2 linked regions of the Styela clava genome follow. The protein of the gene in region 2 purifies or fractionates together with the protein of the main gene of each other region. This does not show direct contact. Links are inferred from orthologs where the notes say so. Each region holds a gene or a part of one and is shown on either strand. Other genes may lie near its edges.

The links.
Region 1: the proteins of NADPH--cytochrome P450 reductase-like (region 2) and ER membrane protein complex subunit 4-like purify together in Homo sapiens (affinity purification with mass spectrometry; 3 studies listed by BioGRID and IntAct, with this or other methods). This does not show direct contact. The link is inferred for Styela clava from reciprocal best matches to the Homo sapiens genes POR and EMC4.

What each region holds. Positions count from the first base shown.
Region 1 is NC_135250.1:22,923,395-22,939,168, forward strand, and holds ER membrane protein complex subunit 4-like, read left to right. Parts: upstream 1-9,349; 5' UTR 9,350-9,469; coding exon 9,470-10,003; 3' UTR 10,004-11,064; downstream 11,065-15,774. Other genes in the region: putative carboxypeptidase X1, read right to left, coding at 198-233, 800-1,136; DNA-directed RNA polymerase III subunit RPC3-like, read left to right, coding at 7,676-9,175; protoheme IX farnesyltransferase, mitochondrial-like, read right to left, coding at 13,292-13,427, 13,508-13,781, 14,464-14,631, 14,731-14,866, 15,642-15,766. UniProt on the Homo sapiens protein: Part of the endoplasmic reticulum membrane protein complex (EMC) that enables the energy-independent insertion into endoplasmic reticulum membranes of newly synthesized membrane proteins.
Region 2 is NC_135261.1:17,877,187-17,894,033, reverse strand, and holds the start of NADPH--cytochrome P450 reductase-like, read right to left. Parts: upstream 8,269-16,847; 5' UTR 8,209-8,268; coding exon 8,030-8,208; intron 7,658-8,029; coding exon 7,594-7,657; intron 7,191-7,593; coding exon 7,073-7,190; intron 6,495-7,072; coding exon 6,334-6,494; intron 5,510-6,333; coding exon 5,385-5,509; intron 4,778-5,384; coding exon 4,583-4,777; intron 3,469-4,582; coding exon 3,352-3,468; intron 2,815-3,351; coding exon 2,696-2,814; intron 1,384-2,695; coding exon 1,202-1,383; intron 1,127-1,201; coding exon 977-1,126; intron 852-976; coding exon 703-851; intron 1-702. UniProt on the Homo sapiens protein: This enzyme is required for electron transfer from NADP to cytochrome P450 in microsomes. It can also provide electron transfer to heme oxygenase and cytochrome B5.

The sequences.
Region 1 (15,774 bases), on a different chromosome or scaffold from region 2:
ATAACATAGTTGTATATTTACTTATGAATTTTCGTGTTCATTCCTCGTCTAAAGTATGCAATATGTACATTAATGATTAAAGCACTGGCAATGACAATGAATATGAGCCACTTACAACAAAATTAAATAAATATAAAAAAATAAATATAAAAATATTTATAATTTTATATCCATAATATATTGCAACCATTACTTACGTGGGGGAATCAACTGCATCTGTTTTTTCAATTTTTCTGCAATGGAAATTTTGGTGAGAAATTTTATGAGTAATGGTCTAAAATTGTCAAAACTGAGGACTTTTATAAATGAAGAAGTCAAAATTGTTGACCTTTATAAAATATTGGGTTCACGACCTTTTCTATTGTTTCTCAATTACTCGATTCAGACAAATTGGAGAGGCGATATACCTGACACTCATAATTGCATGGGATAATTCGTGTTCGTATTACTGTGATAACTCTAAAGAAAATGTACTGGTATTTCACAGTAATTAGTGTAGTGCAGTTTTACTGGAATACACTCATTGCAATTATGTAGCAATTCAGCTATTTACGTGGCCAAATATCAGGCCGTTTCAACCGTCAGAGTCAAGATGATTATTATTAGGTTTTGAAATATGAAGTCATATTCACTGAATTTTTGATATTTTAACGCCATGGACTTGTAACACACTAGCGGAAATCCTTTGACAGTTTGATGTTTAGAAAAAAATGGGATATCCACGTTAACTTTCGGAAGAAAAATATCATTTTCTGATTAAACCACAAGCAATGTTGGTTATAAAAAGGAAAGAATATACCTTCTAATTTTCTCATTCTTTTTGCCATCGCCCGGTACATCAATTTATCTCGTCTGCTTCCACACGATAATTCGGGTTCCTGTCTTCCTGATTCACAGTTTTTTCCTGACTCACCTTTCTGTCCAGGGAGCCCATTCAGTCCGGGCAGGCCAACAGGACCCATTTCACCAGTTTCACCCTTGCAAACCGAAGGGTCACAAGGCTTGTTATTGGAAATGCCTTCGTTGTCAGACATTACCGCAGAGCAGAATTCATATACATTGACGTTGGTTACGTTGCCTCCGAAGACAACGCTTGCCAGGATTAGATTACTGATTAGCAATCTCAAGAATTGCATTGTGTGCTATTAAGGTATTTCCTAACCTAAATTAAACGAAAAGTATTTAGTAGTTTTAATTCAAACTGATTGTGGCAATAACTAATTATATTGCTTGAAGCTTAAACCAAAACCAAAGAGTTTTTCGTATAGATAAATGGCAAATCGGCTGAACATTGGTGCATGTTTGCCAGCAAGATAACCGTTTAGGTACCAACCAAGTTTCAGTCAGAAATATCAATCTCCAACCCATTCCGTAATAATTTGAATTTTGTGTAAACTAAGAAAACAAACAATCTACACAATATCTTTATCCATCGTTGACGATGTTTGACTGTGTTTTTACAAAAGGAATTGCTTGAAATAATCCCAAAAATAAACATTATTTCCACATCTTTTTCCCAAGCACGACCAAACCATTTCCAAACAAGATAAGCCTAATTCACTATAAATTTTGCACCACCTTTTATGACTATGTTTATGTGCGTTTATATTCTCGTGGCACGGGCGAAACGTTAGAAAAATATCGCAGGTTATTTTCTAAAAAATATATTTCACGTGAAGCGTTGAATCAATAAAATAAAGAAAACCAGATCAAAGATGATCAAGTATGAATTATGCATGAAACGAGTCTTTGAAATCATTTCTAATTATGGTCATTGCATAATCCATAAATGTTAAAAAAACGAAATGATTGTTCTTTGCAAAACATGCTGCAATTATAACGGTTCTTCAAGATACCAAGATATTTTATTTTAGGCGTAGTTAAACTTTATAATTTTTTCAGGTATAGGTAACTATTTTTAGAATCTGATGAATCTGTCGAAAGTATTAATCTGTGTGAAATTCTTATCGCTTCCATGAAGCTTGATAAGTTCTTCTGCCCTGAACTCCCAATTTCTTTTCCACTAAACTTTCCTCCCACTTGATTTTCTTTTGAGCAATCATTACTCTAAGTTGGTCAACTAATAGTTGGTTAAATGTAAATTAATTTGATAAATAATAATAATCTGTGACCCATTCTCATACCAGGGTTTTGTTTCAAAATTGAATTTTTTGATGTCACATTTGATTACAGCATAGCTTTATATAAGTATAATAAACCGATAAGCCGTTTTATATATCTACCTTCGAAAAATACAATTTCAGAACGGAATAAATAGCGGATTTGAATTGACGCAAGAATTCATGTCGATAATATTTTTGCAATGACTGAAATAATTTTTTCTCTTAAAGCCAACACGCCACCTGTACTTAAACCTCAAGCTTTGCTATAACTTTTTGCTTCATTCTTGCAAGCAATGATAATACTCGGAAATATTACGTCCCAAGCAAGCACTTATATATACGTTCCCGAACACAAAATCTATAACAACCTTTTTTCTTAAAATGTCTCGTTCAAAATGGTATTGCGCGACAAAAATTTTCTTGCAGTCAATGGTGTAATATCCCAATAAGCAATAATTAGATTTGAACAAAGGCAGAAAAACAGCGTAGGCGTTTCTCCTGATTACCATCAGCAGAACTTTTTGCGGAAACTCCCTAATCTCTTGTTGGAAGACGAGATCAAACAGTTGAAAATGGCAATTTGTTAAGTAATAACGGACGAAGATCCTTGAAGACTTGCAAAAGGGATTGCTGTTCACAAGTCTTACCATAATATATATAATTCAAATTGTGTCAATCGACATTTTGCTGATATTTTTGTTACCGTCAAATATTCAACTTCACTCTCTCAAAATAAATTACATTATTAGCGCAGATTGTGTGCCCAGGTAGCTATCTATTGTGATCCGAGTTTGGCGTACAATAACGAATATATATAAAAATATATTGTAAGGCATTTGAATTCATATTCTTTCTAACTTTGATTTGGAGAAGGTGGCGGTAAATTTTTTTTATGCTAGCAAAAGTATATATTCAGATCATCTTATAACTAATGTAGAAATTTATATATATATATATATCTGTCATCAGGTTTCACATTAAGCATGTATAATTTTTGAAAATACCTGCCATAAGAACATATTACTTTTCATCTGACCTCAGTGCGGTCAGGGAATTACGGTCAGTGAGTATCAGTCCATCATAACTAATTTTAGTTTGGTCGCTTGGACACGGAACAAAACAACAACAAACTATAGAGTTGCCTAGAAGGTGAACATAACTTAGGATTAAATTGAAAAACGTTGCAGTGCCAGTCAAGAGAATGAATACGTTCCTTCACATGTTTTTTGTGTCTAATCACAGTGTTGGATACGGTCGGCAAGGGGACGGGCTAAAAGTAGGCAATTGAAAATTATGCACGTTCTAGGCCCTTCGGAAAGATGGAAAATGGGTGTAATAACTTCTGAAACATAATGAATTAGCTAAAAATAGTCAAATTAGATGTGACTAATTTTCAAGTTCCTACGTTTAGTCCAGTGGTTGTCAAATTACGGCCCGTGGGCCGGATCCGGTGCACCGAAGATTTTTGTTTGTGTCTGCTGAAATTACGACTATAGTTTTTAGGGATATATATATAAATAAATATATAACGTACCATAAAACAAATATCGTGATGTCTCACGCATTATCCGAACTTGAATATAATCTAGCCTACAAAACGAGCCACATATACCCAGGGGTGGATCAACCATTACGCTATATAAGCACGTGCCCAAGGCATCAAAGAAAGGGTGGCACCACAGAATTTTTGGTAACCCCGTAGTATGCGTACCAGGTTATGGTTAGGACATAATGTTATTTCGATTTTTCTTATTTTAGTTCTATTATGAGTTCGGGGACTGTCTGTGTTAGCCAAGTGAATATAACCCCTGCCCATAGGCAAAAGTCGCTTTATATAACTTGATGTAATGTAGGCGAACAAAAGTAGTTACCTCCATGTTGATACACATACTTCTGGAGCGCCGAATTTTTTATAATAGAATTTTGAATTGCGCTTCAGTGTTTAATGAAATAATTAGAGTTGGTCTGACGACTCAAACCCCAATATTGTCTCCGTTAAACTAAATTTTGCTTTTTTCTCAAGTATCATATTTCCCTCTATAAATGTTTGGGGCATGAGAACTATTTCCAAAATATATCATAATTTGGCCTTCAATCAATAATGAATCCTGAAACTCCATCTTTAATTTCAGATGACAATAGTTTTATTATTATAGGATAGGATTTTACATATTTATCCCGGGGGAGAGGAAAGCAGATAAGACGGCTTATCCATATGGCGAACCACGGCCTCTCGTCCGGTTACCATTCCAAGTCGGGTATATGGGATTAGTTTTACTGTATTGTTTGTTTTCGGAAGCATGGACTTGGTGGTGGAGGAAGCCGTAACCGACCAGCGGTTACGTGAACCACCCAACGACGGCGAGGAGTCCAGCAATCCTCTCGCACATAACCATCCCTGCATGGGATTCGAACCTGCGAACCCACGCAGAGTGATTAGAGGTGCGGTGGCGAGCGTATTCCTAACGCTTAGCCCGTTGAGCCACACCCCCGCGCCGCGCTGTATATTATTATTATTTCTTCTTATACATAGTGCACTAAAGTCTTAAGTGCTCAGGGTCTTTAAACTGCAAATGTCCTGATTAAGCTCAATTAACACTGTTATGCTTAGAGTGGTTGAGTGGGGTACAGCTACCGTACCGATATCGGTATTTCATTATAAATATTGAACGTCAAGGAGTAACGGTACACTACTACATTTCAAAATACTGGTGCAGTATGTGTGAAGAAACAAATATCGGATTTAGTGGCGAATGACGCTTTTTTAAGTATTGAAGTTACAGTTAAATGCTATTCAAAACATATAACGACGGACCTTTTCAACAGTATTACTGTTAAAAAGTACCAGTCGTTTAACGTTTAAATGGCATTTTACCGTTACTTTTTGAAGTTACGATGAAATGCTACTTAGAATATTTATTGACTGACCTTCTTTAATAGTAACACTGTTAAAAAACACCAGTTGTTTAATGTTTAAGTGGCATTTCACCGTTACTTTTTGAAGTTATGGTGAAATGCTACTTAAAATATTTCATGACTGACCGTTCTTAACGATAACCCTGTTAAAAAGCGCCAGTCGTTCAACGTTTAAATGGCATTTCGCAATGGCAATTGAGTTACTTAGCTCGCTCATCGCTTCAGAAATGTGCTTTACAATAGAATAAAAAGATTATAAAACATTGTTGTTGTTGTTGTTGTTGAATATAATATAATTATATTTCTATATAATTCTGTCATAACGCTCGCTAAGGAGAAGTTGCAACTGCAAATTTACGAAAGCTATCCACTGACTATTAGACTGCATAAATTAGTTCTAGACTGCATAAAAATGAATACAAGAAGCATATTAAATATCAGTATCGGACTATCTTTGTTTGAGTCTTGTAAATCAAAAAATGGATGATTTTTTTTAAAAAAAGGTAGTGAGAAAATATGACTCTAGTCTGGCCAAATGTGATTTCATTGAGGCAGGAAATGACTTTGAGCCAAAAACACAATATGTTGAAATTCAATGCTACGTTGCGCATGCGCTTGGATCCTATCAAGCCCCAACTTGTAAGTATGTATGTCAATTTGCCTCAAAAATGTAACAATATCTGTATAATAATTAAACAGTAAAACAGAGACGGGATACATGTTCAAGACCTTACTGGCTCGATACACATATGTGCGACATGCAGCCCTAACAATCATAACAGCAGTTTAAGACTGTTGCGGTATAATAGGACAACAGACATGAAATAGGCTATACAAATAAAACTCTAGTAAAATGCACAAGACGAAGAAGTACGATACAACGACGATAGGTACAATATAGTTAGTTAGTTTATGGCATGTCCATGTCCCAGGTTCCGGTGTGAGAGGATGAAGATCGGGTATGGGTCGCTGGAATGATATATTTTTACAATGAATCTCACGAAACACGTCTTGGTCTGATAATATCCAATATGCAAGCTCAACTTTAGCATTAATGGTAAATTGCATGTGGATACCTACCTCTCTTATACAGTAGTAACTAGTAACACCTCATTGTGGGTCGCACAGGAAGAATGGCAATAAAAGTGAGTCGCGGACTGATAAAAGGTTGAAAGCACTGCAATAGATGTTTGTTGTAGCCTACATTAGCTGTTTCGATAATTTTTTTGCAAATAAACTGTTTTCATTCATAGTTTCATATTGAGCCGCCGGCCCACCAGTCGTTGGGCCCACCAAGCATCTGGAACCGGCATTTGTCCGTCTGGTCTGCGCGTTAGGTTGAAGAGAAATGATTCGTAAGTGACGGATAAGTTCTTTGACATCAATTTTTTTTAATTAGCCTATCTACCGGTGTTTTTCGACTTCTTTCTATTCCACCTGTATCATAGTTAGGCATTGATCACGGGTGTCGCTGCTGGATAACCGGCATTGATTTTTCGTGTCGTGTGTATGTGCATTGAGGTCAACATACGGTTTTGAAAGTTGATACCCGTACCGCGAACCGGTATTTAGTTTAATCCGTATTCTGGTATCTGTACCGTATTGCTGAATCGTGCTAATCTAAATTCAGAAATTAAAATTACGGTACATTTGTCACAAAACTGTGGAGTTGTGACCAGCAATCAAATAATTGATGACCTTTGTACCGGTACCGTAATGTTCTGAGCTTAATACTGTAATAACGCTGAATTTTTAAATTTAAAAGCCCAGCATTAAATTTGTGGGCTGGGTTAGCACTGATGTACGGTACCGAGACCAGGGCTACTCAACTGGCGGATCTTTCGAGTATTAATTTGGACCGCAGCTACTTCTTGACATTATTTCATTTTGTAATGTAATACGTTTTCCGCTAAACCACTGAGGATAAAATTCTCATAACAATAGGCTATAATTTTTTCAGAGCATCGACTGCCTAGCATTGTCTAATCAGCAACGGCTTCCTCCACCACCAAGTCCATGCTTCCGAAAACAAACAATACAGTAAATCTAATCCCATACCCGACTTGGAATGGTAACCGGACGAGAGGCCGTGGTTCGCCATATGAATAAGCCGTCTTATCGGCTTTCCTCTCCCCCGGGATAAATATGTAAATCCTATCCTATCCAGCAAGATGTTAATGGTGGCGTAAAAACTGAACTATTAGCGACCGCATCTGTTTGCTAAAATTTTTATGGACATTCAGACATTGTGGTTTTTCTTAATAAAAAACAAGTTCTTTCCGCAACTAGATATATTATTACGGTTGCTATGGCGGCGAATAACTTCAGATTTATATATATCTTTTCAGCAAAGTGGGCTCAGCTACAGAAGCCTTGTCATACTGGCAGCGAATCGCGATATTGAGTATTGCTCCTGTATTTTGTCAAACAAAACATTTGAAGTATTTTTTGCATAGTTAAAATATATTTTTACAATGACCGAACCTTGGTAATTTTCAAGTTTTGTGTAGCTGAGTTGTGAAAATAGTTGAGTAGCCCTGCTTTAGACTTAACTCATATGATTTCTTGAATAGAGGTTCAAATATCAAATTGAGTTGTTGCTGAGTTCTGAAGTTTGTTTTCAGTATAAAACTATAATGGCTCAAGCGGAATGTGATTTGTGTAACCTTTTGCTGAAGAAATATTTTGGATCCATTGTGTCGAATGTTGGAAAATTTTTATGTAAAAATGGACGACAACCATTAGGTCAAATTATAATCAGCACAAAACTCAAACCATCGTTAGTAAAGAAATCACTATGTGTGCTAATTCAACACAAACTTGTGAGATTTTTTAAAAAGAAAAAGAGAATTGAATACATCTTTGATATGAAAATTGGATTGCGACTTTTACAAATTCCAAAAATAATTTACACAACAAAACTACTGTATGGTGATCCAGGAGAATTGATTATAGAAGAGATTCTTGTCAACGGAATTTCAACTATGGAGTCAACTTTAGAAACAGTTGTCAAACGACTTCAGGAATCAACGGAAAAAGTAAATGAGAATGAAGTTAAAACTATTTTCGAGAATCTCACAAATGCGAGATTTCTTTTAGTCGAACCTAATGTTGAAGATACTGGTGACGTGGACGCAGCTGAAAGTAGAGATAGCGATTCACAATTTCCGGCTGGGAATCGAAAAAGAAAATATTCTGGTAGTGAAAATGATGCTCCTCAGAAAAAGCGAACAAAAAATGCATTCGGTACTTGCTATTCGATAAATTATGCTCGTTATTCTCAATATTTTCGCGATCAAAGTATCATTGCAGGTGTAACACAAAAATTTAATGTTGCATGCGGGGAAATTGTAAGAACATTGTTAAGAATCAGCGAGGTAACAACTTCTGGTGACGCTGAGGTTACTCAACCAATATCCAGTAATGAAATTAAGCATGCGCTCCCTTCAAATATGAACTTATCTGTTGAATACATCGAGCAATATCTAAATATAATGAAGAATGACGAAGGCAACTTCGTACAAAAATCTGACGAAACCAGCAGCGGAACATACGCTGTTAATATAAAGAAATGCATCACAGCGATTTGTCATGCTAACGTTCTTTCTTATGTGCAAGAAAGATTTGGAAGTAAATGCTGCAGAATTTTTAAACTTCTTATGTTAAAAAATCATATGGAACAGAAGCAAGTCGAAGATTTTGCTATGATTCCTTCAAAAGAAGCAAAAGAACTTTTATATCAAATGTGGGCGGAAAATTTGCTAGTCATGCAAGAAATTCCGAAAACTGCTGACCATGCACCTTCTCGCACATATTATCTTTTCAATGTGAATATAAAAAAAGTGGTTCGAACATTGTTATCTCGTTTAAATAAAATGTTAGTAAATCTTCTTGCTCGTCAACAGTATGAAGTTAAAGGCAACAAAAGACTCCTTGAGAAACGGAAAAGAATTGATTCGATAAAAGCAAATTTACAACAAGCTGAAGAGGATCAGCTAGAAGAAATTGAAGAAATGTTGACACCTGCAGAACGAGACCATTTGCAAAAATTAGAACATTGTTGCAATAAACTAGGAAAAAGCCAAATTCAAGCCGAAAATACTGCTTTTCTGTATAATTCATTTTTGGGATCATAATCAGATTGGTGCTTTCTATATTCTATCAGTGACATAACTGTGTGTTATTTCATATTAGGCATTGTGTCTAAAATATAATAATATTAGCACATATTTTTTGCAATTGCTTTAAAATTCAAGTTTCACAAACTAATTTTGACAATTTTTCCTATGAAACCACTGCCTATTGTAGAAAACTAGAAATTGTACTAAAACCGACAACATTTGTTTTTCAAACAGAATAATCCAATAATTAATATCATTAACTGTACAATCCACCTTCAATTAAATCACACTACATCAGGAGAGAACAAGATGTCACAAGGTGAAAGCGTTGCAAAAAGGCGGCACGGAAAATGGAACATTGACATGACATTACGTAAAGGTGAAAGACAACAACAAGAACTGCCTAGTCCTCCTGGATATGGTTCTGATCGTCACCAAGCCAAAGAAACTGTACGAGGGGGAGGGGGGACAGACCAAGCATTGATCGATAAGAAGGGTTGGGATGTCGCTCTTGCCCCAATCAAAAGCCTTCCAATGAATGTCTTCCTCATGTATATGTCTGGAAACACAATTTCAATATTTCCAATTATGATGGTGGGAATGATGTTCTTTCGTCCAGTTCAAGCTTTAATGGGAATTAAAAACACAATGAAAATGTTGGAAAGAGCTCGGCAGTATTATCTACTCACACTTGTTTTTATGCTCGGAAATATTATGGCCATTGGTCTTGCAGTATATAAATGTCACAGTATGGGTCTCTTACCAACGCATGAATCAGACTGGCTTGCATTTGTTAGTCCATTAGAAAGAAAGGAATATGTCTCAGGTGGTGTTGGAATATAGCGTTGGCTGTGAAATACTGCCCCAGCAGAACAATCATATTGTCACCGATATGGTTCAAAATGTGTGACATATTGTATAGCCTATACTTAAAGAGAAAGTGATAAATAAAATCATTGTAGTAAGAATATGATTATTCTTCATTATTAAATCTTAATAATGAAGTTCCCAAAATTCATTAAGTCATATCAAAAACACCATTTTATTTTGAATTGGCATGTCGTATGCTGCTCATTTTTATTTATTTAATACTTTCTGGAAAAATCAAATCTTTGAGTTTATTTTACCATGACCTGAATAATGGCAACAAATGCAATTGTATAATAAGCCAAAGTATAGTCGGTAAACACATCTTTCCCATCACCCACCAAAAAATTGAAATTTGATTAATGTAGTGTTTTATTTTGATAACTAATTTGACAGTTTTTTAAATAAAATTTTTCGATATAATTCTGGTTGAGATAAACATGTTATATATAAACTTGAATTGATGGTTTCATCCATTTTAGTCATAAATGATTAAAAAAAGCAATGCATCATTTCTCTGGTGTAATAATGTTGTGTATGCTATACCAAATTACTATTTTTACAGTTGGTCTGAATGACTGGGTTTTAGCTAGCAATAAGCATATTGCAATTTATGAGTTCCATAGACTGCCATGATTTATGTAAGGATATTAATATACTATTTGCGAAAAGTTGAAGATTTGATTCATTTTGGTTTTCCATTGAACTATTATAAGTTCGGGGGTCCATGCATGACTTTTTGTAATATGCTTTTTTGGTACATGGTAATACAATTTTCACATTTGTTGCTCGGGAGTTCTAAATTTAGTCAATCTGTGCAATTTTTGATGAACATTTAACAACTGTCAAAATATAACCCTTGTTAAAAGCTAAGAATAGGATTACCATTGAATATTTTAATGAGACTATTTGCATAGATTTTTTGAATGCTGCTTCTATGTGTTTTGTCAGAATTTTGTATAAATGTTGTATTTAGATATAACGTTGTTTGCAATAATTTCTTAAATATTGTGTAAATAATCAATTTGTCAATTCAGGATGATATGAAAAGTATTATCAAAAAATGGAATTCATATAAGTATAGATTTGTACCTTGGATTAAATTGAAAAACAAATCACTGCCTTCAGCAAGAGTAACGAACACCTACTCCGATAAAATTATATCAGATGCTGAAGTTTTACAGCAAGTGACAAAAGCATTTAAAAATCTCGAGCGAAGTGAAGAGAAACTGGTTAGATCTCGTGGATTTTCCTTGGAAGTGCGAAAAAGTACACTCACTGGAGCTGGGAGAGGAGTATTTGTGAGACGTGGAGCTATTAAAAAAGGAACCGTGGTTTCTTTCTACCCAGGAACTATTTATCTTCCATATGAGTCGATATTTTTTCAGTCGATTGCCAACCCTTTCATTTTTAGGTGCTCTGATAGTATTTTGATTGACGGAAATAACAAAGGAATCTCTAAATTGATTTTCAAGTCTTGCGCAGGAAGAGACAGAGTTGGACCATATTTGACAGCTGATATAACCTGGCTTAATCCGTACAAAAGTTCATTTAATATTGGACAAATTGTGAATAACCAAACAAGTGCTAATCCAGCAAATGTTTGTTACCAAGAGTTTGATTTTCCTGATGACTTTCTTTAGAACTGAAAAAGTTCATTCCTAATGTGTTTTATCAAAGCCTTTGTGGGCGTCGTGAAATGAGAACAGTGGTCCTTGTTACTACTAGACATATTGAAAAAGGTGAAGAACTATTTTCATCTTACTACACTTTGATAAAGCAATGATTGCAACTCGAATGTTCGGTCGACGAGCATTGCCCATCGCCATGAGGAGAAGGGCAATATTCCAATCAATGACTAATTCATATTCTGTCTCAACAGAGCCGCCTTCGAATGATTCTAAAAAAAACAAAAAACGACCTGAAATAGGGGGTGTTTGTTGCATGACAGGATGTGCGAATTGTGTTTGGATAAAGTATGCAGAAGAGTTGTTGGAGTATTATGGAGGTGTTAACGCTGGCAGGCAAGAAGTATTGAAAGCTATCGATGATGAGGTTGACGATCAGAGTTTAAAAGCATATCTCAAGTTTGAGATTGCTTTGCTGCTGAAAAGCAAGACTTGAATATGCATTTTATGATGTTTATCTGTTGTTGTTAAGAATAAAAAATGTTTATCAACTGTTCCAGATAATGTGTTATTAGTGTTGGGTCTCCCAATGGGTCAATAGTAAGCAAATCTCCCATAAATTTTTCAATATAGTCAAGTCCTGTCAAATTTTAGTGTTAGAAACCCACATTGCTGATGTTTCCAGTGCAAGCATCCATACACACTTGAGTCATGTTGACAACGAGACATGAAACATTCCATTGTGAACTGAACCAATGTTAACTATTTCTTAGCATTCTCTCAGCTTATGTCTGTAACCATTTTCTAATACAGCACTAAACGACATGTTGAATCATCCTCATCCAAGAATTAGTAGAGTCCGTTGATTTTGCTCAAATGGCAGTACTTTAAAGTCACTTTAGCAACCCAACACTGCTATTAAAGTTGTGGTTAGGCAGGGAAGAAAATTTTAACTCTAATTGAGCGCATGGCTTCGGCGGCCTCTTGCAAGGCGTTGCAAATAGCAACTAGACTTCTTGCTGATTTACAAGATTAACAATTGTGTCATGAAACATTTAATACACAATTTGGGTAAAAATCTTTCAAATTATTATTAAACCTTGTTAGGGTTATCAGTTTGGTCCCTACATCTCTTGCCATAATGCATTGTTGGAGGCTTCTACCAAATCAATTAATACCGTTGAGTTTCTGGATGAGCCTAACCCCAGACCAGTGGACGAACCCTCATTTGAAACAAAATATGCTTCCTATACAGAGTACAATAACCTGATTTGACGCTCCAGAATTGCGTTCGCCCACTTTACTTGAATCATGTTGTGTAGAAGGACAGAAGCTTATGGGCAATGGGTATATTCACTTGGCTAACATAGACAGTTCCCGAACTCTTAATAGAACTGAAACTAGAAAAATCTGAAAATAATTATGGCCTAACCTGGTACACAACACTACCGAAGTACCCCTAATTCTGCATATATTCTAACCAGAACCCATGTTATAGTCAAACAAGTCAACTCAAAACACGGAAGCAAATATATTTGCTCAGGTGAGAATAAGACAAAGCACACATCGGAACTTAATTTAAAGAATGAAAACATTTGATGTCTGTAATGCAATTCTAAAATGAGCATCATTGATTTCAACTTAATTCTCCAACATTTTTCTTCTTTAATCTAGATATAACTTTTCTGTCAATTACGAGTCCCAGTGAGACGGCAAGTAAATAATACAAACTACATTTGTAGAGTTTTGAAGCACTGTTACTGTTCCCTTTCCTGTTGAACAAGATTTGAAAATACAATTGTAACTGAAATTGAGGGACACAAAAATTTTACAATTCTTTTTAAATGTTTACCTGTAAAATTGAATAGATTCCTTCATCAACCAGGCATTGAAAGGAGCTGCCATTGCAACAAATGCCCATGAAGTAACTCCGGTGAATGGTGCGGCAAGAGATAACCCACAAAGTGCAAGAGAGTGACCCAAAACTACTGCTTTAGTGGCTTCAGGGTGAGAAAGGGGTAACATATGATAGGATCCTCTGGCATAGTCTCCCTTTCTCCTCCAAGCCAATGCGAAGAAATGTGGAAATTGCCAACAGTACAGAATTCCAGCCAGAATAAAAGCACCTGTTAAAATAAAAATGCCAGTTTTTTATTTGTCAACCAATACATGTCCTCATTTCCATCGGAATAGTAATTATATCATATTCCAGAATTTTCTGCTCCAAATTCAAAAGTGCAATATAAATATTTTATTGTGGTCATACCAGGTGGAGGGATTCAGGGGGTTCGCACAAAACTGGGTACTCCCGTAGTGTGTGTACCAGGTCAGAGTTAGGCCATAATTTCATTCCAAAGGATTCAGTTCCTTTATACAACTTGTAAAGTAGGAGAACAAAATCAGTCAGCTCAATATTGGTACACACACTTCTGGAGCGCCCAAAATTGTTCTTGATCTGGCGATTAGTGTTATATTTAGCATTTTGAAAGTTATGTACTATGAGATTTATGAAAAGCATGTCATATAAAAGCAGCTCACATAGGGACATACATTAGTAAATATGACATATAGGTAGCTGTAGGGCTGTAAGTTCGGCCTGATTTTCCGAAAGGAGTAGTCTGTTGTTTGTGAGTTTAAAAGAGAACCATTCCCTAAAATTGAATCCCACCACTGGTTATATCATGACTCCAAACAAGGTTCTAGACAAGAAAACACTAAAATTTATTGGATACTATTTTGGGATAATGCACATTTTTCAAATGTAGCTTTTCTAAATAGTAACAAATTGAAAATTAAAATTCCTATTACCTGGATCTAAAGACCCTGTTGCAGCTGTCCATCCCATAATAGGAGGAATTGCACCAACAATAGATCCGGCCCAAGTATTCAACCAATGTCTTCTTTTTAATGGAGTGTATATTGCAGCATACAATATAATATTAGAAAGACCAAGCGCTGCTGTAAGACCATTGACACCTGAAAACAAACGGAATAGTCACTCATCAGTTATGTTAAATTGCATATTGCCGTATATAGCTAAACTATAGCCAAGCTAAAATGAATACTATGTCATACCATAATATAAGCAAGACACTCCAGCTATAGCAGATGAAATCCCAAATATAGTTGCATGGAGAGGAGATATAACATTGCGAACTAGAGGACGATTCTTTGTTCTGTCCATTTGTGCATCATATGGCACTTCTGCAATCTAGAAAAAATAATAATATAACTCGGAATACCGTTTGAAGCTGCACCAAATCAAAGTTATAAAACTTACATATAGAAGGGGTGAGCACAATTTTTGAGTACAAGAGCCGCATAATTTTTGAAATTTATATTATTAGAATATCGTTAACAGAAAAGAAATTTACACATGAAAACAATAAATAATATCGCACTGTAACTGAGCTTAATCGCAATCAAGTTGCATCATCGCCAACGCAGCAACAAACATTTAACCATTGTGATGTAAGATTTGTCGCTTGACTGATTTAAATTTAAAATTCCACACTGCAGCAATTTTCATATTAAAACAAAATTTGTCTCAATCATTGATGAAAACTTCTTCTAACGCTCTAATTTTAAAAAAAACACTACGGTTCTACGGTTTTCTCTTAGTTAAATTTGAATAATAATTATGTTAGCGAGAAGAGCCGCATAAAAACTCCCGCGAGGGGCATGCGAGCCGGGGTTCTTCCACAGTTGATATATAGATATTGTATTGATATTAATTACTACGCCATATTGTGTAGGATTTACTGCTAATAAGGAAATGCACAAGTAGTATCTGAGGAATGTGTTTTTAGATAAGTATGTCCTATGCAATTAATTCATCCTTAAGTGTGAAGTATGCAAACATGCCAAAATGACACTTTATTATGCAAGCCACAAAATGCATTATACTTTGGCAAACTTCAACAATTACAGATTATAAATATATAAAAAAATAACATAAAGAAGCAACAGAGGTGAATGAAACGTACTTGATTGAAGGTATTCGCTGCACATGAGCAAAGTAGCGTACCCATAGTGGCAAAGAAAAATAAATGATGATCAAAAGTGACGGGAGCAAGACAGTATCCTGCATCAGCAGTCATGACAACAAACACTAAAAAC
Region 2 (16,847 bases):
GATGGCGGACATCGGAACATAACATGGGTAACAGGTTAGGGTTAGGCGATAATTTTTTTTCCAATTTTCCTTATTTTAGTCCTATTATCAGTTCGAAGACTAGCCAAGAGCCTCCCGTAGTATTTATACCTAAAATTATGGCCTAACCCTAACCTAGTACACATATTACATTCCGATGTCCGCCATCTTGGTTCGCATACTTCGGGAGCCCCACTTATACATATATTATCTCTAATTTTTATTGGTATAAAACTCTTATACAGTGAGTGCTTTTGTAGGTGAGTATTTTTTGGGAAAGATCCCACAAGTTAAAATCCAGATAACCCACTCAGAAGTAGCAAGAACTCATCTCTGAGCAAGTTACATGAAGCTGCGACTTTTGAGTATTTGCGAATGAAAGCACCAGGTGAGTACTTTTTGAGCTAGCCCACTCAGCCATGTAACAAGAACTCATCTCAGAGTAAGTTACGTGAGGCCGTGACTTTTGAGTGAGTGTTTGCGAATGCCAGATGGGTACTTTAAACGTTAAGTGACACAAGATTCTAAGCAGTCATGTTACTACCAGAAAAGCTGTTATGAAGTAGTAAATACAAAGGAAAAATAGTTTAGAAATATTTTTTTCTGTTATGATTCCTCAGTATAATACTTATAAAAAAGGAACTCAGAAAGTTATCCTAACACAATAGTTCAAAAAATTCTTACTTTCTGACATAGACAGGTACATGATGTTTCATTTCACCAGCAGGAATCTTATCTTTGAGATAAGATGTGGCAACACCTTTGATAAGCCGATTAGCTTTTGATGTGTATTCCACTACGATTGCACAAATATGAATGCTTGTTGGATGAGCCTGCGATAAAAATATTTTTGTAATGGAATCTCAGACCTTATTAATATAAACATTATAACTAATGTTTTAAACTATTTCAGTGGCCCCCAACCTCTTTCAAGGAAAATTGACAAAAAAAAAATTACCTTGGGAGAACTAGCGATAGAATAATATCGAGCTTGTAATCTTGGCATCAATTCACACAAATGATCCATAGCAGGCATACAGGAAGGTACTTCTTCTAAAACAGCCAGAATGTTACGTCTCGAATCCACTACCCACTCTTGATACTTTTTCTGTTTCATAAAAAGAACAATTAGAAAATAACTGAGGTCGTGACCTTACCCACTGTTTGTATCATTATTACCCACCTTTCCTTCTGGAGTGGGGTCGGATAATGACTTCAGAAAATCCTTGTCTTTTTCGTCAGAGCAGTAATCAATAAGTTCATGGATGACATTTGTTCGTGGTGGATGGATAATATCAAGATAGTGAGTTAAAGCAGTGCGATAAGACGTTGGGCAAGGAAACGGATGCTTTTTGTTCGATTCCTCTGAAAAATGTAAGACAGTTATTCATATATGGCAGGCACAATATAGAAACCTCGTGAAGAAGTATGTACCAAAATTGAAGCATGAAATACCATTAGATGGGGTTTGCGTAATTGAATCAACTGTAAATTAGTGGTTATGTGGTAACCCAGCGAGCGGCGCATCATGCTAAGCGTTAAGGATATGCTCGTCATCGTGCTCATGATTACCCTGCATGGTTCATAGGCTTGAAACATTATAGTATAAATATATGCGAATGATTGCTAGATTCTTTGCTGCCATTGGATGGTTAACATAACCGCTGGTCGACTACAGCTTCCTCCACCATCAATAGCAACTGATTTCAAACCCAACATGGACATGGTAACTGATGAGAGGCCGTTTTTTCCCATAGAAATAAGCTGCCTTATTGGCTTTCTTATTCTGAGCAGATTAATCTGAAATCAGATTTTTATTTTTATATAAATTTTATGTCTCAGCTACCCTAATATAAACTGTGTAATAAGATATGATATCCTGCGAACAAATATAAAGCTATATAATTTTTTACCACAAATAAAGAACAAAACAGTAAATTTCTATTATCCCCCAGCATTACCAGGAACATACCAAGTTAAAGAGGTAGAAAGAAGGAACTTCCTGGTATAAAATCGTTTATCAGCGAACTGTATTAAACATATAATATTATACCCTTGTATAATAGTATAAATTTCTGATCATTAGTATTTAGACCAGTGCCGGAGGAGCTGGACCCAAAGCCCTGAAGCCGTGGTGTTTTGTTGGAGCTGAAGCCAGATCCTTTCCAGCTTATAATTTTCTTAAATTTAATTTCTAACTTTTAATTTTAACACTGTTTTAAAAAGTTGAATTTATATATTCAAAATTTGATTCCTAAATATGAAATCCCAATATGGTGCTTTTGAGTCCTGCTTCTGCAAAACTGCATTTGGGTGAAGGATTATTGTTAGTGGTCATATAAAAACCCTGATGGCTGTGGGGCTGAGCCCCAGCTACAGGGTGTAAAAATGAAGTTCTGGAGTAGGAACCATTGAGATTTTAACTTAGCTGCGCAGCCCTGATTGAGACAGAAATTAAATATTGATATGAATATTCAATATTATGACACGAACATCAGAATTCATTTATACATCGATCCAATAAAGTGATTTTTAACTAAAGCTGTAATTTTAAACTCTCCAGTTGTTTTTAAATTCTTACATAAAAAAACCTCGAGGAGTCATGAAATAGTTCGTAGCAACAAGTTCACTGAAAAACTATATTAGCACCCAGATGGTGATTTAAAAATCAGCCTACCATCAAGATTATTCAGTGAAAAAATAGTATCAAGATCTATTCCAACTCTCTTTCCGATAGCTTCAACGATCGTTGTATCATTGACTGGATAAACAGCTACATGGTCTCCTGTCTCATATCTGACATAGAAAAATAATATAGCCTACATGATATTTCAAGTTTGCAACACAAATGAATAGAAACAAGAGCTTACTACAAAGCAGTTGAACGCATTAAATTGATTGATATAGGCTCTGAAATTCTTCCCTTATTAAATTTTTATTGCATGATATAACATAGCCTAAGATACAAGTACATTGTATGTACATATATTGATTATGCATAAATATGCACTGTGTCTGTAAAAAAAACAACACTTTTACACTTTAAAGAAATGTTAAAAAATTGTTTTGATAATGTTTCTGGCTTGTGAGACAACCTTTGAAACCAAGGGCTTGCTCATTCAAATTGCCTATGTTCAGAAAAGACAATTTTGAAGCCTTTTCGATTTTATTGTAAAAAAAATCCAGAAATTTTCAGTTAAAAGTTAGAAAACCATTAAATAGGGCATTTCGAATAAATAGGCTACAAGATATAATTCTCCTGAAGTTTCCTACAAAAATCTAAATCAACAAAGTCGTCACTAAATAAATAAAATTGAGGCACGTGCCGGTTACCTTATACGTGTATCCGTGATATCAAATTCAATATGCATACATGACCTGTCACCACCATTGTGCAATTCTCTATTTACATTAATAGGAGAAAGATATGGATTTTTCGAATCATATGGTCTGAAAAGAATAGGCAAATTAAGATACGATCTATTCAAGTATTATCTACGATTCAGTCTTATTGGTATGATAAAACCAAACATAATATGTGTATCTAACATCATTGTGCCATTCCTAATGAAGTTTGAATTACACATCGTCACGGCTGGTTCAAATAAGAAAATGTTAATGCCACACAGGGCTCAGTATTTGTGGTTTGTACACAAAGATATAGGTCATGTTTAAATGAAATAAAGGTGCCCTTGTACTTTATCTTGCTGTATAAACTTGTTACATTTGTAGAATGCTGTCAACCTGAGCTTGCAAGTGATAATGTGCAAATTGTGATACTCTCGTAGCATGTGTACCAGGTTAGGGTTAGGCCATAATTTTATTCCAGTTTTTCCTTATTTTAGTTCTATTACGAGTTCGGGGACTGTCTGTGCCAAAGTGAATATTACCCCCTGTCCATGGTTTCTATCCCTTTACACAACTTGATGTAAAGTAGGCGACACCTCCATATTGGTACATACACTTCTGGAGCAGCCAAATTGTTACATATCATGATTTTGTTGCATTATAGGACAAAATGAAATAACATTATCAATATGTTAAATACTCATCATATGAACAATGATCTAATTAACACTCTTTGTCATGGAATAAACAAAAGGGAAAATTGCAGAATGTATTCAGTGTACTTATTTGGGCATTTCACTGTAAATACATGGACAACGAAAAAAACTAAAACTAAGGCTTATTTCATTCTAAGAGGGAAATAAATAGTTTAGGTTTTATAATAACGAGTTAAGCATTTTAGTAGTCTTCAGAATTGTTTTTTCCTATTTTTTCAGGGGGAGAAGAAAGCAGATAAGACAACTTGATGACATTGCGTAACACGGCCTCTCGTCCGGTTACCAGTCCATGTTGCGTATGGGATTGTGAAACAGTTTTTTGTTTCATATGCGTTTTACAGATTTGAGTTCAATGCTAAACAACATAGTAGACAATGCTTACATGAACAATTCTAAATCGCAAAAAGGCTAACAATCGATTCATGACATGATATCGTTTCCATGGCAAAATAATGTTCATGACAAAACATGAAGAAAATCAAGAAAGCAATCTAACTTACGGTCTTTGATTCTTATAAGACTTGATTCTGGCAACTTCCCCTGTGTAAACAGTTTCCATGTTTAATACATCAGTGTCATGAACAGTTAAAGTATAAGCACGGAAAGAAACATCTTCCCCAGATGATTCTACACCAAGATTTTGACAAACTGCTGGCCAAAAACCTTCTTTCCACGTCACAAAATCTTCTTCAATGCTGAATTGAAAGAGTTGATTATAATATCAACATTTTTCAATACTATTGTTTAGGAGAACTGCTCGAACAAGGTTTAGGGTGCTAACCTAGGACTAAAAAAAACTGGTTGCTGGGAAATTTACAAGCAACTACCAAATTGCCAAAAGCTACCAGAACTATACAGGATTACCCGCCAGTAAATGCTGATTGGAGATTTCAATTCAATACTACCAGGAAAAAAGATACAATGCTTACATTTGCTGCTGAAAAATCAAGATTCTTTAAAAGATAATAATAATAAAAATAAGAAAGATAAGATAATAATTTTAGCACTGGAATAAAAACATCAAAATTTTTGGTCTGAGTGTGATCTGAGTTGAAAGCATATGTGGCCAAAATTTAGCCCCCTTTTAAAACTTGCATTTTCTCACCTTGATTAATGTTAATTTCATTTTAAAGAAAATAAGATTTGACTAAATATTTCAAATTTTAAATTATTCAATATACAACAGCTTCAAATGTTAGCAATTTAAGCAAGAGAAAGTTTTATGAATAGCGGACGCTACGGAAAGAGAGCGAAAAAGACAGGATTTTAATATTTTGACGGAGTTTTGAATGAGAGACTTACTTGGCATCATCGTCACCCAAACCAAGAGGATAAACCCGTTCTCCGCCCAGTTCCTCGAGACGTTTGTCAACAAATTTGGCCATGGAATTGTAATGTTCATATGTACGATTTCCAAGACCAAACACCTGAACAAATAATCATGATTGCAATAAACTATATTTTACTCACTGTATCATTCAAATTTATAGAGAAATTGGCCTTTATAAATTTTGATGAAATTCAAACAAGGAAATGACGATTCTTTAGCAATTCAGATATTCCGAATTAGTGTTTTGCCAATAAAAATTGACTCACTCAGTGCAACAAATTAGAAATATTTCCCAAAAAAGAAAACTAAAAAAAGAAAAAATAGCTGAAAATGGTACTCCAATAAGAAATTGTTATTGGTATCATCATGATGGGCTAATAGTCACATCAATTAGCTCAGTAATTAAATAATAACTAGCGACTTTCCCATAACAATCAATCATTGTGTGCAGTGCGTCACTTATGACTAGAAACCAGGATATCCTTGTTCATCAATACCAGGAATAAGGAGAAACGAAAATGAGCAAATTTCCGCCAACAAACTTGATAACAGAAATTCCATCACGAAGCATTTATGATTATCAATCCAGTGACATAGAAAGGTTTTTATTGACTGATATTTTTCAAATTATTACAAAACTAAAAATCCAACTGGTAACATTTTCAAGTAAAAAAATAATCCATATTATTCTTATAGGCGCTCCAGAAGTATGGGTACCAATATGGAGGTAACTAATTTTGTTCACCTATTTTACATCAAGTTGTGTAAAGGGACTGAAACCTATGGGCAGGAGGATATTCACTTGGCTAAGACAGACAGTACCCGAACTCGTAATAGAACTAAAATAAGAAAAATCGGAATAAAATTATGGCCTAACCCTAACCTGGTACACATACGGGAGTACCTTCTTATAAATCTTACCGCAAATTTCATTCCCTTCAAATCTTCGTCACAATTTTCCAACCATTCATAAAAATCTTGGGCATTGTCAGTTGGATCACCTTCCCCATATGTGGCCATACAAAATATAGCAAGAGATTTTTCTATGTTGATAACTTCAGGCAGTTGATCCATGCTACATTCTAAGTAAATCATAAGATACAAAATTATTCACAAACCTAAAAAAAAATAATTAAAAAGTTCATCAATTTTTATCCTCCCACTTATTTTCAGCGTCACACAATTTAGAATATATATCCTGCTATTTAAAAAATTGCAACTTTTTTCAAAACTTCAGTTTAAATCTAAACTGCTAAAAATATAGCTTTTTCAAATTGCACTTACCGGTACCATATTTTGAATTTTATCACCTATATTTGCCAGTCACACCTAACATAACTTTGGATTAAAGTATGGTAATAATTTCCTTTCTGGTTATAACAGAAAATCTACTCTCGGAGAATCTATCATCTTCATACAATATGTAAGGCGAAAAAGAGGGTGTACTTGGCAAACAGACATTTAAAAAAATGAAAATCCACTAAACAACTGATTGCTCGAATACCACTATGCACTCGATTCAAAAAGGTACTAATCACGTTTTCAAGAACATAAAGATCATTCCAGCATACATAAACAGCCTATATCACACTCTAATTCATTCGGGAATCAATTGAAACATTATCAACTATGAAAAAACAATGGAAAACCAAGATGTTACCTTCTGGATCAAGAACTAAAGCTTTCATTCCATATCTTTGAGCATCTTTCATCAATCTACCAGCAAATTCTTCAGCCGTACCAGTTTGTGATCCATAGAATATTGCTATGTTTCGACCCTAAAATAGAGAGGAAATCAGGTTAGGAAATACAAAGAAATAAAAATGAAATCTCAGAACTATATACCGGTATGTAAAATGAGGCAATGGTTTTCAAGTCGCACAGTAGTCCAGTCTTATTAATATTATTTTCATGTTTTTTTTAAATTTAATGAGCGGTCCAAAATATCTCTGTTTGAAATTAGGGATGTTCCCAGATTAGTTTAGTTTCAACAAATAAATTAAAAGCCATGCTATCCAAAAGTTCTTTATTGTTTAAGAACTTAAGATGAATTAAATCACTATTTGATACCTAAAATTTACCATATTTATAATGGAATCATTATTTACGAAAAATTTCTTTGTCAATTTCTCACTTCAATCATATTTAATGCAAAATTTTACACAGTAAAAATACACTTACGCCTTTTTTCATTCGTGATATAAACCCATCCATGAAAGAATCTGTTCGAGTGAGTGTTGGTTGGCTGTGAAAATATAGTTTCATTTTGTAATATTAACTGTAGTTCAAACTTGAATAGAAGCAAAAAAAGGATATGAAAAAACTTTCAAACTGAGAATATTCCTAAAGTTATTAAGAACTCACTATACCAAATATAATTAATTTTCGAATGTCTGTATAAACACATGCAAAACATGCATACTTTATAGCCCGATTCAATGACCCTAAGAATTGTCAATAAAGATATAAGGTAGTTAGACACATAAGCTTGACCAGTCCATTACTCACAATTGGATAAAAAAAAATTATAAACATATACAGTATATAATTGTAACCAGAATTGGTATTCTCAGATGTACAGTATGTAAGTTAGCTAATTGAATTCAATCCGACTTACACGACAGAGAGCTTTCGAAATTCGTCATCTTTAATAGAGTTATCACGACGGAAAAAGAACCAGTAAACTCCGAATCCAATCAGAGCACTCAGTAAAAAAAAATCTAAAGTTGATATTAATGGTGCTGAAGAATCTTTCGGCATAGTAGCATCATCAGCAGCGTTAGTTTCAGGGTCCATTTGATAAGAATTCAAACAACTAATTAGTAATGTTAAATATTTGTATTAACCTGTTTAAGACCTGTTTGATATATCAGTATAATATATATTATTCATATCTTTTTGATACAGTGATATATCGTTAATAATTTGCGAAGAGAAAAGAATGCAAGTTTACTCATTCATATAGCAGTATCAGAGTACTGGAGTATAGTGAAACCTACTCTCTTCAGACTCTTGCAATTTTGGAATCGCGTCTGAAACCAGCTGACTGTATCATATCACCAGAGGATAAAAATGATACCTATTGTACCTATTGTACCTATTGTATCTCGGGTCTAGCCTTACAGCCTTAAATGAGACGTGAAAATACCACCGAAACTGCATGAATAACGCTAAACAGAAATGTGATGTCAAATTTTTATGTTTTTAAAATAAAGTCTTTCTGGCGAGCAATGAAATTTTTGACAGATGCATTCTGATAAAATCAAATCCACTCAGTAGTCAATGTCCCATGCCAAATAGGGTATACTGGTATAGTGTTCCGCTGATACAGACCTTTATATAAAAAAATAGTTAAAATTTTGCCGGTATTTTTGATTCACAAATTTTTGTTCGGCATCACTATATCACTATTTAGTTTGGCATTATTCAACCACTTGCAGTGTTTACTTCGCTAGACCCTTTCTCTGTATCTTGGAGCACTGGTACGGTACTTTGAGGTGACAGTACGGTATTTTGACGACTCCAAAGTAGAATACCTACGGTCATACGGTACCGGTACTGACCTACGGTACCTACACACACACAGACTGACAGACACATCACCCGCGCCGATAACGCTGTATGTCATCCCGGCAATGTTATCAAATCAAATGTATATTTAAAATAAATAAAGATTTCCGAGATCTGTCCTGTGACCTTGCTATGACAAATCCTGCGTAGCAAAACGATAACTACTCATTCATACTAACTTGCTAGTATGTGTTGCAATACTGCAATCGTCATAAGTCTGTAAGTCATTTGTAATCATGTCACGAATTTGAGCGTACGCTCTGAACATTACATTATATTTCATTGCATGTTTTAACTGTTTCGTTCTTGTTCTTTAGATTGTATTTTACTTAGATTGCTTAACTTGGTTGGCCTTGTACTATAGTTAATACTTCATGTGAATTGATTTAAATATGGCGCTGCGAACAGAAGACAGTTGGAGAGATTTTTTCATATCAGCTGAAATACCTGCGGAGGAAGCATCAATATATTCTAGAAAATTCATGGAAAACCGTATAACTGAAGTCACACTTCCTAATCTATCTAAAACAGATTTGTCTGATTTGGGTATCCAAGCTGTTGGGGATATTTTAGCCATCCTCAGCCACAGCAAAGCAAAAATGACACTCGAAGCCCACACACAACAAACAATAGATGCACCAAGAAATGACTCTAATATCATAAAGCCTCCTCCACCCAGAATGCCGCGGATAGAAATAAACATGACACGACCTCAATTTCGAAAATTCAAAACAGATTGGGAAGTGTTTAAGAAAATGACAAGACTTTCTGATGAACAATACAGTTCCCAGTTATACAACATGTGCGATGAAGCAGTTCAAACAAGCATAATCAACACAGTAACGGACTTTTTCAGTCTCGATGAAGAGGATATTCTTAAAGCAATTGAAACAATTGTTACACAACGTTCAAACCCCACAGTTCATCGCATGAACTTTGGTGCAATAATTCAAACAGAAACAGAATCTATTCAGGAATTCATCACCAGACTGAAGTCAGTAGCAGTGGACTGTGAATTTTCTTGTCCTCAATGCAAACACAACCTATCGTCACACCACGTTCGAGATCAATTCATCAGAGGTGTCCATAGCACAAGCCTCCAGACTGAATTGCTCGCCAAGGCCAACCAATTTAAGACTTTAGAAGATGTTATCAAACATTCAGAAGCCTTTGAAACCGCTGTAAGAGACCAATCAAAACTTCAGAAAACCGCAGAAGTATATGCGGCACAAACTTACAACAAACAAACACCAAACACCCGCGAATCGCAAAGGCCATGCGCAGGTTGTGGAAGTCTATCTCACGGATTTCCAGGTTCAAGGAACCGTTCAACAAAATGTCCTGCCTGGGGGAAAACTTGCACCAACTGTAAACAGCTCAATCACTTTGCTCGAGTTTGCCGACAGGTGAATCAGCCCCAGAAAAACCAACCACAAGCAGAAGCTAATGCCCTACTAGCTCATGTACGTTATAACGAAAAACGTCACTGCTTTACTACAGGACAACATGGAATGGATGAAATTCAAGCAACAGTACATCCATTTCCTCAGAATCGCAACTCGAAACCATGCACGGTACTAATATTCCCAGATAGTGGAGCAAACATTTGCTTAGCTGGCCCAAAGCATTTGCAGAGCATGCAAATCAAACAAAATCAGTTGCTTAAATGTCATAAGATAGTGACGGCAGTTGGAGGATCAACACTGACTTGCTTCGGCTGGCTGCCGGTCAAATTTGTAATTGGTGGACACTCTACCACACAACAAGTTTACATTTGTAACAAAGTGGATCGTATGTACTTCAGTCGCCAAGGCTGCATTGATACCAGAATCCTTTCTAAAGCATTTCCTTACCCTATGGAAATGGGAGCAAACGTGGCAAAAATTAGCACAGCAGACATCCCCACTAGTGAGAATTCATTGGGCCAATTACCAAAACGACCAAGAAATTTGCCATTCCCACCAATGGACACGAACGTCCCCCGACTGGAAATGTCATTATTGGCGGAATTTGCAAACACTGCATTTAACAATGTCACACCATTTCCAAAAATGAATGCACCCCCAGCCCACATTCACCTAAAGTCTGATGCTCAACCATTTGCACATCATACTCCTATTCCAGTACCATACCACTGGAAAGAAGCAGTGAAATCCAGTCTAGACAGAGATGTAGAAAGGGGTATTATAGAACCTGTCCCTGTAGGGCAACCAGTTGAATGGTGCAGCAGAATGGTAACAATTGCAAAGAAGGATGGCACACCCAGACGTACTATAGACCTCCAGCACCTAAACTCCCAGTCATTGAGAGAAACTCATCATTGTCAGACACCATTTCAACTGGCATGTCAGATACCTCCTAAAACTAAAAAGACCGTACTGGATGCTGTAGATGGATATCACGCCATAGAACTGGATGAGGAAAGTCAGCATTTAACGACTTTCATAACTGAATGGGGAAGATACATGTACAAACGAATGCCTCAAGGATTCATTGCAGCTGGAGATGCATACACAAGACGTTATGATGATATTATAAACAATACACCTCGCAAAGTAAAATGCGTTGACGACACGCTACTATATGATACAAATATAGAAGAAGCCTTCTTCCACACTTGGGATTACCTAGCAACATGCGCAACAAATGGCATTGTACTGAATTCAAAGAAATTTAAATTTTGCAGAGACACAATCTCATTCGCAGGATACAACATAACACCAGATGGCATAACACCATCAGCAGAACTTCTCAAAGCAATTAGAGATTTCCCAGTCTCTAAAGACATCACTGGAGCCAGATCTTGGTTTGGTTTAGTTAATCAAGTTTCATGGGCTTATTCAATAAGTGAAATAATGTTACCTTTTCGTGAACTCATAAAGCCAAACTCAAAATTTTACTGGGATGAAGCTTTGGAAAAAATATTTGAAACATCAAAACAATTACTGTGTGAGACAGTTAAACAGGGCATACGTTCCTTTGACACAAAACGTGCAACTTGCCTCCAATGTGACTGGAGCAAAGATGGGATCGGATACGTTCTTCTTCAAAAATACTGTGATTGCTCGATCGATAAAGTTCCTATTTGCTGCAAAGATGGTTGGCATTTGGTTTATGCCAACTCCAGGTTCACCACGCCAACAGAAAGTCGATACTCACCCACTGAAGGAGAAGCATTAGCAGTATCCTGGGCCTTACAACACGCACGAATGTTTACCTTAGGTTGCCAAAACCTCATTGTGTCCACTGACCACAAACCCTTATTGGGAATCTTTAAAGATCGAGACCTGGATAGTATTAAAAATCCTCGAATACAAAACTTGAAAGAACACACCCTGCGATATAGATTCACAATGCAGCATTGCCCAGGGAAATGGCACAAAGCACCCGATGCTTTATCACGCAATCCCACAGCCTTGGAAATAACAGATACGAAAAATGCAGTGATGGACATAGCACGAAATGACCCATCATCTGATGAAGTAACAACAACAGAGCAGTGCGAAGCTCGTGTTCACGCAATTCAACAATCTGTCATCAACTCAATAAATGATGACGATGCGCTTGTGACCCTGGATCACATTAGAAGCCATGGAAAGTCTGACAAAAGCTACAACATACTCATCAAAACAATTGAGAATGGATTCCCTAACACAAGACATGGGACACCGCCTGAAATCCGGGATTATTGGGGTGTGAGAGATCGCCTATCAACTAAAGACAATGTAATACTAATGGACTCTCGCATAGTTATTCCCACTCCCCTTCGCAAGACCATACTGAGGTCACTACACTCTGCGCATCAAGGGATCACAGGCATGAAAGCAAGAGCAAACCAATCAGTCTATTGGCCGGGCATGAACGCCATGATCCGAAACTTTCGATTTGGATGCCTCACATGCACGAAATACGCTCCATCTCAAACTAAAGAGCCAATGATATCGAGCCCGGCGCCACAGTATCCCTTTCAACACATATGCGCCGACTACTTTGTACTGGGGAACCACTGCTACCTATCTGTTGTAGACAGATTTAGTGGTTGGATCAGTATTTTTCATTACCCACCACATCGATCAATCACTAAAGAGCTCATCAACTCATGTCGTGGGTTATTCACATCCTATGGAGCACCAGAAGAATTTGACTCAGACGGTGGACCTCAATTCACCTCATCCGAATTCCAGAACTTTTTAACTGATTGGGGAATAAAGCATCGAAAGTCCTCAGCATCTTACCCACAATCTAATGGACGGGCAGAGCTCGGAGTTAAAACTGCCAAGAGGATCATACGTGATAGCACATCGCCTGACGGTTCTCTGAATAATAATAAGGCAGCACAGGCAATCCTACAATACAGGAACACTCCTCTGCAAGACATTGATCTCAGCCCAGCTCAGATACTTCTGCATAGACAACTGCGGGATCACGTTCCTACAAATCCACAGCATTACCGTCCCCATCCACAATGGATTATATCTGCAGGGGAACGTGAGCAGAAACTAGCTAACCGCCATCACATCATTATCGACAAATATAACAACACATCGAGACAACTCCCTCCACTGTCAGTTGGGACAACAGTCGTTATACAATCACAAGTCCCAAACAAGCCACGACACTGGAACAGGACTGGTCGAATTGTAGAAATCCTACCTTACAGACAATACAAAATCAGAGTAGATGGCTCGGGAAGAGTGACTATACAAAACAGACGATTTATACGACCTTGCATCATCATTCAGCCTCCGCCGATCATGCCATTCTCACCAACAATTCCCCCCAGCGGAGAGAGAGATGAAGACATTGGAAACTCTGGGAGTCATAATGCAGGAACTACTCAAGACACTCCGGTGGAAATACAACCAAGTCATCATGTGAGCCCATCGCTAACCAGCAGAGCTCCAAGATTGCCTAGGGCGCTTCAGAGGTTACAGCCCTACAACAAGCCAGGACGACTTGAGGAGAACTATAATGTTAACTGAACTGAACAAAACATTTCTTAATTTAAAAGACTCTGCGCCTCTGCTGGAGGGTGGAGATGAACATTACATTATATTTCATTGCATGTTTTAACTGTTTCGTTCTTGTTCTTTAGATTGTATTTTACTTAGATTGCTTAACTTGGTTGGCCTTGTACTATAGTTAATACTTCATGTGAATTGATTTAAATACGCTCGATAAAGATATCTAGAGGTCGTAAGTCAAAATGAAAGTGAATTATTCAACGATGAAATTTAGATTTTATACTAAATCAAATCTTTTTCAGCCCCCCAAAATATGGCACTACGGGTAGTATGCGGGAGTGTATCATTATTCTATGCACACAGAACACGCCAGAAAAATTGGACACGAAATGTACGGTACATATGAACGTTTTGCTAAATTTTTGTTGTAGATGCGGGAGATGTTTCCCGAGCGTCTGTTTTCTTGTTCATATTCGTAACAATCACCAACAAGCGATAAGTCAAAATGACCAAACAATGGCAATTTGTGCAGTCGCTCAGACACTTCTTCATTCAGACTGATATTCGAGCAATGGTTGTAAACATTCGCTCGTTTTTGTGTGATTTGCCAGGTTTAAATTCTATTTACAAAAATTAGTTGTGAATCAAGTAATTCAATTTTCATTATGTCATCCGTGGAGCTTTAGTTTAGTTCAATAACCAGAAATTAGTCCCGAAAAAGCTGCGATAGACTTAGCTAAAATTAGCTATCAGTACATGTGAGCCTCACGTGGTTAATCAGATATCTTGGTGAAAATGAGAACTTTGAACATGGGAATCAGTTTTTAAATGTCTGCTCTCCAAAACACTCGTAAAAACCACTGACCCGCGGGTCACAAAGTGACCCACCGCGTTTTATTTGTGACCCGGCGAGCGAAGGCACGAAAAAAATAAAAAAAAATGCTAACATATCAGTGATAAAAATTGATAAAACCGGCCTTAAATTAATCTAACAATCACTAAACTATTATAATGTACCGTCAGTTGGACAGTCAGGGAGGGCTGCGATCGCGCATGTTCAAAATGTTGATTTTCGGGCCGGTATGGTAATTTTCAAACCCCTAATCTTGTACGCATGTATGCACCGCTGTGTACCGTTATTCAGCTATTGGACCTGACATCGTTTATGAAATAACAATACTATTGAGGGAGGTTGTTCATTTCTCGCAACGCCTGTCTTTTTTGGAAGTGCATCTGCAGACTTTTTTTAGGGGTTATACAGGAAATAGATGCTACTTTGCATTTTATTAGTTTCTCGCCTACAATGCCGTTGTGAAAACAAAAACTTTCAGACTTGAAATAAAAATCTAGAAATCTGATATAACAATGGGGCAGTTTAAAAGTCGCTTAATGTGGTTGGAAGCTGATCGAAAATTATAACACTATCAAAGCGGAATTACCTCCAAACACTAGAACCGTAAAATAATTTAACGCATCATCCTAAACGTTTTTGGTAATTCATATGCGTTTTTTTCGTACTCCAATATCATAAAACCGAGTGCCATGAAAAGTCCCTGATAGAAGTTCTGCATAAGTAAAGCCCAAAACTACACCAACACCAGCTTATAAGATTCGTTTAAGAAGTTTCTTATAGATACAAACGTGAATTAAATATCTGTGACCCACTCTCTTCTGTTCCGCGATAAAATTATAATTTTTGACCCACTCTTAAAAAAGGTTCGCCATACCTGGTATAGGGACACACCGATTTTCAAGTAGCCCACGTGTTTTTTGTGATGTTGTGAAATATGAAATGATTAAGTTTGCACCTAACAGTTATACATTATGTTAATTTTTATAATTGTAGTAATTTTCTATTTGTGATTGTTTGTCTGAAAATTGAATTGTTCGTCATGAGTACAAGTCATGAGACGACTGCTGCCCTTTCGTGTTGCTGTTAGCAGTGATGAGATTGAGCCGACTCGCACCATTCGCTGGAACCTGGACTTGCATCCTGTTCTTGCTACTACTTTAATCTCAAGAAAAGTTCCTAAAAAATATGACTTTTTGTAGCAGAACCGACTGAAAAATATGACTTTTGTGATGGAACCGGCTGAACAAAAATTTGGATTTAACCACTGCATATATATATATATATATATTATAAGACTCGTGGTGGCTTGACCATGGTCTTACGTATCATTGAATACAGTATTTCTTCCATGTCTGATAATTCATCATTATAGTCCTAGACTAATACCAAACCTACAGTACATTTTGTGGAAATGTAAAAAAAAATTCGCACTAGTATATTTGGGCATGCTAACCAGAGTGTCCATTGTAAGCCAATTACTCGCTATCGATTCTAAAACAAATCTTTCAAGTTGTACACCTACACCCCTATGGTTAACCTAACACTAATTTATACTTAACATTGTAATTGTGTTTTGGCCATAAAAAATTCTACATTAGTATCATTCCACTTGATATATATCTTACTTAGGGTGACCATACTTTCAAATCCAAAAAGAAGGACAAATTGTTTGGTAAAAACACATTTCATCTGTGCATGATATATTATAATATATCTACTAAATTCCCTAGGATTAAATATAGAAGTGACAATAGACGAAGTGACGACAATGAAATAATACATCTTTGTCTTTATTATGAACATCTGCAGAACAATCGATTTAGATTTTAGACCAGGATTATTTGGCCGCTCTTTTAATCATCGTCAACATTGCTGTCAACATTTTTTTCAAAAGGCAAGCTGCAAAAAATGTCTTTAAAATTGTAAACTAAGTGAGTGTACTAAAACAGACTCAGAGGATGCTTTTGGATATTCTTCCCTTAGTTCCTTAGTAAAAAAAGGGTTTTCTTTTGGGCATAATCTTCTGACGTAATTTTCTGCCAAAATAG